2 linked regions of the Oryzias latipes genome follow. The protein of the gene in region 2 interacts with the protein of the main gene of each other region in a pairwise test. Links are inferred from orthologs where the notes say so. Each region holds a gene or a part of one and is shown on either strand. Other genes may lie near its edges.

Evidence for each region.
Region 1: the proteins of cep44 (region 2) and aqp1 interact in binary tests that used the Homo sapiens proteins (3 or more experiments, as listed by UniProt). The link is inferred for Oryzias latipes from reciprocal best matches to the Homo sapiens genes CEP44 and AQP1.

What each region holds. Positions count from the first base shown.
Region 1 is NC_019875.2:28,339,741-28,343,525, reverse strand, and holds aqp1 (aquaporin-1), read right to left. Parts: upstream 2,426-3,785; 5' UTR 2,364-2,425; coding exon 2,001-2,363; intron 1,634-2,000; coding exon 1,472-1,633; intron 1,338-1,471; coding exon 1,257-1,337; intron 1,077-1,256; coding exon 897-1,076; 3' UTR 501-896; downstream 1-500. UniProt on the Homo sapiens protein: Forms a water channel that facilitates the transport of water across cell membranes, playing a crucial role in water homeostasis in various tissues.
Region 2 is NC_019859.2:27,430,361-27,433,929, reverse strand, and holds part of cep44 (centrosomal protein of 44 kDa), read left to right. Parts: intron 1-234; coding exon 235-309; intron 310-521; coding exon 522-704; intron 705-2,604; coding exon 2,605-2,733; intron 2,734-2,796; exon of another isoform or gene 2,797-2,828; coding exon 2,829-2,927; intron 2,928-3,569. UniProt on the Homo sapiens protein: Centriole-enriched microtubule-binding protein involved in centriole biogenesis. In collaboration with CEP295 and POC1B, is required for the centriole-to-centrosome conversion by ensuring the formation of bona fide centriole wall.

The DNA of each region.
Region 1 (3,785 bases), on a different chromosome or scaffold from region 2:
CGTGCCCGTGGGACCCCTGTAAGATGTCCACATGAACTACAATCTGTCTAATTTCCTGATTAGACAAGGAGCAAGGAGCACGCACTTATCTATTGCACCAACAAGGTTCCCTGTGCAGTCCTTAGCGTTCACCTGCTTCCCACCTATTTCACCCTTACGTGTTGCATAAGTGTTCTCTAAAAGAATGTTCATTAACATTTTTTATTTCACTCTACAGGTTCACTCAAATTTTGTGCAGGCCCGTATCCGTCCGTAAGGGCAGTCGTGAGTAAGGCGGATCATTTCTTTGGCTGTGTTTTATTTTCATAATCACTCGTGCATAATCTAATCTGACAGATCATAAACTTACAGCTGAGAGTTGTGTGTTTCTAGGAACTCTATCAGGTTGTTGGTAACTTTTTGCATGTTATGTCATGCAGTTTTTGTGTTTGGGATGAATTCATAGTATTACAAAAAACATTAAAGAAAATTTGAATAATAAATGAAACGACAACAACAAATTCTCACATTGTGTTTTATTTTACGTAAAAAACTTTAGACAAAAGAGTGCACACAATATAATATCCATCAGGAATAAGAATAAGTGAAACAGGTAATATACAAAATAGGCTTCAACATACAATACTGATATGGAGAAAAAGGATCAGCAAACGTCCCGCCCGGGGTTTCAAACTTCAGCAGCGGTTTGATAAAGAGCTTGTGCTGCGTTGATAAAAGGAGTGACTTTAGACAGCCTCTCTAGCTGACCCGTAGACGACAATCCTCCTTGGTTTTTTTCAAAACAACGTTAAAACTCTGCACTAAATTTCAAAGCTTTTGAATTTTAAATTTGTACATATTGATTTTTTTTTTAGTATAGACATTTACAAGGACGTGGGGGGAAAAAACAACTGCAGCTACTTTGAAGACATCTCCACAGTCGCAGACTCGTTTCCTCCATTTACATCGTAGTCTCCCACTGGACCGCTGACTAGGACCTTCATGCGATCAGGGAAGTCATCAAACTTGGGGGACAGCAGGAAATCGTACACCAGAGCCGCCGCTACACCACCACACATCGGGCCCACCCAGTACACCTAGGACAGATAACTCATATCAGCTTTTGCACTGACTTTGTAACGTTCAAGTCCTTACTGTGTCACAGAAATGCCACAAACACTGATTAACTTATGTGTGTAGTGAGTTACTTGGGTTTGCTAAATAGCCCACATTCAGCTGTCTGAGGTCTGCTGGGGCTCATTCTCCCTCCAACTTACCCAGTGGTCCGTAAAATCGTTCAGGATCAAAGCTGGGCCAAAGGAGCGGGCGGGATTGATGCCACAGCCTGTGTAGCTGATCTATGATCACAAAAAAAAAAAAAGACATGAAGTCATTCTGGAGCAATGAAAGGCGGTTTATTCACCTGGTGGACCACACTAAAATCCACTGGGGTCAATCTTGAACAAACATTTTTGGGGATGGTGTAACTTACAGCTGCCAAATGTCCCAGGCAAACTGAGAGGCCAATGGCCAGGGGTGCAGAGCCCATGACGTCACGCCTCCTTTTATCAGTGACTGCAATGACACACAGCACCAGCTGGAAGGTGGCCAGAAGCTCAATGCCCACTCCTTGGCTGGGGGTGACACCGTTAAGCTGTGGGTTTTTAGGGGGGGGGGACAAAATTCAGACATTGGAATGGAAAGAATGGAAAGTTTCCCTTCACTGGCTTTATGCTGACATCTTGATGCTATCATATTATTGCAGTAGTAGAGTCATAAAATCACTGAAGCTACAAGTTTTTAATAGATTTTTTTTGCCAAACAAAAAACGGTGGTTCTGTCTATAGGGGCCGTCCTTTACCTGCACACCTCTCCACGTTGCATTTAAATGCACTGTCCTTAAAATGCAACGTGGACAGGTGTGCGTTTAAAGGATGGCGACCTCTCCATGCTGTCGTGCATCCTATTTAGGTAAACAAATTCTGCTGTCAAGAAAAGGGGATATAAAAAGTTTTACTCACAGAGTTGAGCCCTAGGGCGCTGGTGTTGGAAGGACGCGTCCCGTAAACGATGCCGCTGGCGAGGGCTGAACCCAGCATCTGAGCCACTATGTACATGACTGCCTTGAAGACGCTGATCTGGCAGCTGGCAAGCATGCCAAGGGTGACGGCGGGATTCAGGTGGGCTCCACTGATGTGGCCTAAGCTCTGGGCCAGAGTGGCGATGGCTAATCCAAAGGTCAGCGACACCTTCACCTCCTGGTCTGGGTTGGCGTTGTTGGAGTTTCCAATGGCTGCAGAGATGCTGAGAAAAATAAAGAAGGCCATGCCGACCAGTTCGGCTAGAACGGCCCTCCAAAAATCTTTGCTCTTGAACTCCCTCATGGTGGTGGCTGTGTGACGGTTTGAGCTGCAAAGTGTGTGTAATCGTAAACAACAGCATCAGGCTGCATATATAAGGCCGGTGCTGATAATGGTTGGTGGGCGGGCGTTTAAAGAAAAAAAAAAAAAAACTGAAAGGGAGAACCACGCTGAACTAATGAGAAACCCAAAAGGCCGGTCTCTCCCATCCCTCCCTCTGCTTCCTCACCCTCCCTTCTCCCCTCTCCGTCCTCCAGCTTTCTCCCAGCACCTCCCTGTGCAGCACTCTCTCCGGTCTTTGGACTTTTGTGAATAGCAAAACAGAGTCTTTAAATAGCTGTACCCAAAGATAAAATGTCCTTTCGTACCGGCGTTTCTAAATGAAACTCCCCACTGAGAGAGAGCTCCCAGTCAGAACTTTCCAGGAGCAGAGGGAAGCGTTTTTTAGCTGAAATTTGCCTTAAATGACAATTTTGTGCAATTTTGCGCCTTACGAATGTGAGCGTGGATCACTGACAACATACAGGAAGGCAGGAGACAGCTCCAAACAGCCCTTTGCTCCACATTCCCCCTGGCTTCTACTCCAATTTTGAGCAACATGAAGTAATACAATTAAGATATTTTAGGCACAAAAAAGTAACTGAATGAAGAAACTGAAGTTAAAGGTCCTAAATGATATTTTAATCAGAATTGCATAAGTAGAACTTTTCCATTTCTAATAGAGCAACTGTGATTTATTAACTTGATTGACGTTTTTGCACAATTACTAGTTGTATTGTTGAGCAAGAAAGTGAATGATCAACTCCATGAACGGCACTGCCTGTTCTGGAGCCCCCCCCCACTTAAAGAGGGACTCCAACAAAAGGCAGTCCGCCCTTTCACTGCTTATCTGATAGAAAAAATCCTTTTCAAATGACATATTCTTAGAAATGACCCTGTCACTGGACTTTTGCATTAGTTTTCATATATGATAACCATCATATTTAGATTAGATTTAGAATAGATTTAGATTTATTGCTTTTTTTTTTTACAAGTAACAATGCAGAAACACAGGTATTTGTATATGTAGTAAGTACAATTTCAGAACTAAAAAGGAAAAGTAAATACCAAGAATCAATCAGTCAAATTTAGCAGCAAAATAAAACAAATTTGTAAAATAAAAGTAGGTTTTGTACAATTTCAAGTGTAAATATTCCTTATTATTGTTCTTTCGTATTCAACTCCTTAAATTTTTGCTGCCAAACACTTTTATCTTCATCCAAACTTTCAGTTCTTGTCATTTTGTTTTATGAAGTCATCTGAATCTGTTAATTTTTAAAGTTTCAATACAGCATCAAAATCAGACAATGGAAAGTGTTCTGTCAAACTTATTATCCTTTAATTATTAACTCTTCTGACTTGTGCGACACGCCGCAGCGCTACGCTATGCATGGTTGCCGTGACAGA
Region 2 (3,569 bases):
AGAGCAGAGCAGGGAACTTGTGGCCCACTGATTGTAGTTTCTTTGTAACAACTACAAGCTTTTGCCAACAGCATTTTTTTGTCTGTTCCTGAAGAAATACTCAGAAAATGCTAATTTAAGCTTTTTTTCTTCATACACGTCCTCCATCATCAGAAAATGCTGCACTAACATGTTAAAAACACAACTGTCATGCAAGTTTAAAGGACTTTTAATCTCCTTGTGTGTCTTTTGCAGCCCAAAGTCAGACGCCCTGTCTCACACAGTGATGTTGGAGTGGAAGGTCATACAGTAAACCCTGATCCTCCCAGTGTAAGGCAAAGTCAACTGACACGAACAATTAATAAGTGCTGTTCTTAAAGGTTATATGCAACTTAGCATTTGCAGTAGTATTTTTTCACTTTGGCAAAAAAGTCTTAAAATACTTGATTGTATGTTAAAGCAACTCTTCCCTACCTTTTGAAAATTCCAAATGATGATGTCAAAATTAAAACAAAAGATCAACATTTTTTTTTTTTTTTTAGATCTTCAGGGAGCCGTTTATTGTAAATCTGGCTAAAACTCCGTCCTCTATCACTGCAATCGCCTCCAGTGCAGAAGAGTTTCCGTCCTGTCCTCCTCATGCTGACGTGGATTCCTTCATTTCTTCTACAAATGAGATCACAAATGTACCAATAGCAGAGGAGCCCAGTGATGGCACTGTTTGTGTAAGTATTTCCTAAAAATAAAGGGGATCTCATCCATAACAAACATTGTTTTCCAGATTCAGTGTCAGTTTGAGTTGGTCTAGGTCATCTTTTCTGTATCTATATGGTTCAGAGGCCCCACAGGATTAGCAAGATGTTAAAAAGGCTCTCAGAGAAAAATGTCTTCTGACCAATGGAGGAATAGCTGTTTGTTTCTCTATAGGGAAATTAGCCTCTTGGAGCCAGCGGGTACTTCCTGTTTGGACCGTGAGGGGGGAGGGGACCCTCAGTCCAGTTCTCATTCACAGTCAATGGTCTGAACTGCTTGAGGTAGCGTGACCTTCAGTCACAGCTGTGCTTGAAACCCATTGTTGGTTTAACCTTTAATTCAACAGGTGATGCTAAAACAGCTTCTAGTAGAAGTTTTGGAGATGAATGCAGAGAAGCCAGATTGAGATAGTTTGGACACATGACAGGAATGTACCGTGACAATGTTTATAAAACGATTCGGAGGTTGGAGCTACCAGAAAAGAGGCCTAGATGAAGACCAACCAGAGGAGGTTCATGGATGAAGAGGAGGAGAACAACAGAGGGGTTTGTGTGAAGGAAAAGGTTAGATGAGATGTGGGGACCCCAGAGCAGTTGAAAGGCAAAAAAGTAGAATACTCCGTGGAAGTTTTAGCTGTCACCATTCACACTTTTATTGTTGTCGATAAGCTGTTTTTCTAGTACTGGAGAGAGCAGATGTTTTTATTCCCTGAACTTCAGCTAGAACTGACAGATGTCAAATCTACAAGAAGTCAATTTCATGTGTTGCAGCAAAGTAGCTAAATGTATTTATGCATCTTTTAACAAAAGCCTGCTGGGTTAGATTTTAGATTAAAACATGATTTTTGAACCAAATTAAAGCTAATAGCAAGACTCTGAAGTGTTCCAAAGCTGATGGGTGCTGAAACGCCTGTGAATGAACAAATGGGCTAAGCTATGCTGGAGATGATGTCATGGACCAACTTCAGTATCTTGAGTAAAGAAGAGGTCGCTGTTTTAAGTTCGGTTCAAAGCTACATTTTAGATTTAGATTAAGATTTTTTTTTCAATAGCGCTGGTTGGGGGCGTGTCCTCCTCGTTTCCACTGATCAGACACAGCTTTCCAATGTTGTCGTACTTCTGTCCACAGACTGATTATGCGGTGACCTTTATCCCATCTTATGAAAGCTCCAGGGTTTCCCACCCGGTTCTTATGTTGACGGCTGTGGAAGCATCATAGGAAGGAAGACGCTTTTATTCCTGTCTTCGTTTCCAAACAGGATTTCCTGGCTTGGTTTATCTACTGGATAAAACATGAACTCCCCATCTTTGTTTACACATTAAGCTGACAGGGCCGAAGCCATTTCCATTTACCAGCATTACTGACAGCAATGCTGTTTGGCTTTACACCATGAAAGCATGCAGACCAAAGGGCTGAATTCCACATACCTGGCATGTTCCTTTTGGCTGGACACACCTGATCCAGGTATTTAGAGGTAGGATATCTGGAGGACATGCTGTCACACCGGCGCTTTTTACCTGGAGTCCCCCACTTTGGATGTAGGCCTAAGACCCATCTCTTTAACTTGACTTTTTGCTGTCTTTCTTTCGTTCGTTTGTTCATTTATTTATTTGGCAATGTTGATCACCATGAGATGAAGGGTTGTAGGGGTGTGGAGATATTGTGTAATGGAGAGGGGATCTATTTTTTTGAATAAACTAACTTTTTTCTTATTGTTTATTCTAGTGTACAGCACTTTTTGTTATCAGATATGAAAAGTGCTATTTAAAAAAAAAAACAGATTTGATTTAAATATCAGTGGACTAAGCATCAAACTCTAGATTGTACATGTCTTTATCAATTACTAGTATTTATAGTATTCATGTCATTCAGTTATCGGGGATGGAGAGCAGACTCTCAGCGTTGGAGGTTCAAGTGAATCAGATTTTATCTCGGTTCAACAAGCTGGACATTCTGGAGAAACGTCTGGAGGAACTTGAAAACTGGAAAAGCACCGACAAGGTAAACTAGTATTGACTAAATTGAAAAGAAAATGACGAACTGTACATTTAACCTCATGTTTAGTTTGGGCCATCTTGCACATGGCTGAATTACAGGGGGACAAAGAAGTTATCACAATACCTCGAGAGAGCTGGGAAAACCTGATGGGCAGAGTTCTTCTACTGGAAACCAAACTAGACTTGAAAAATCCAGAAGTAAGAAACTTTGTTGCTTTCCCCGTTGATGCTTTGCATCCATGTCATTGCTTTTCGTGCAGTTTATCTGGGTGTCTGTCATGTGTTCACTTATTTGTAGTGCTGCCATTGGCAGGAAGTCTGTTTTCTCTTCTTAAAGTCCCACTCTGATCATCTTGTGTAAAAAGTGTTCCCAGTGGTCTTTTAAATCTGATGATGCAATTTTTAGCCAAAGTCACAAACCTGTGTGGTTTTCTAGGACGTAGTTTCTGCAGAGCGGCAGGTAATCATCAGAAATTTGACTGAGTTGTGGGCGGGACCATTGGCAAGAAGCAAGCCCGCCTCCATGTTCCATCCCCCATCTGTTTACGTGCTCCCCCACTAGCTTACAGCCCCTCACAACCCCAGTCTAACATTACTGGTTCAGCAAAAATGGCGAGACGTAAAGTGTCGAACCAGATTCCAGCTCAGACGAGGAAAACAAAGATGTTTATGGATCTATTTGTCTGCAAGTGCATGAATCGGAGTGGAACGGAGCAGCGACCCCCCCCCCAAAAAAAAAAATAAAGCTGGGTTTTTTTTCTTACATGAGTGAGTCTTTTACACAAGGCAAAGCGCGGCTGCATATGACAGTTGATCAAATACTGCAGCCTCCATGTTTGT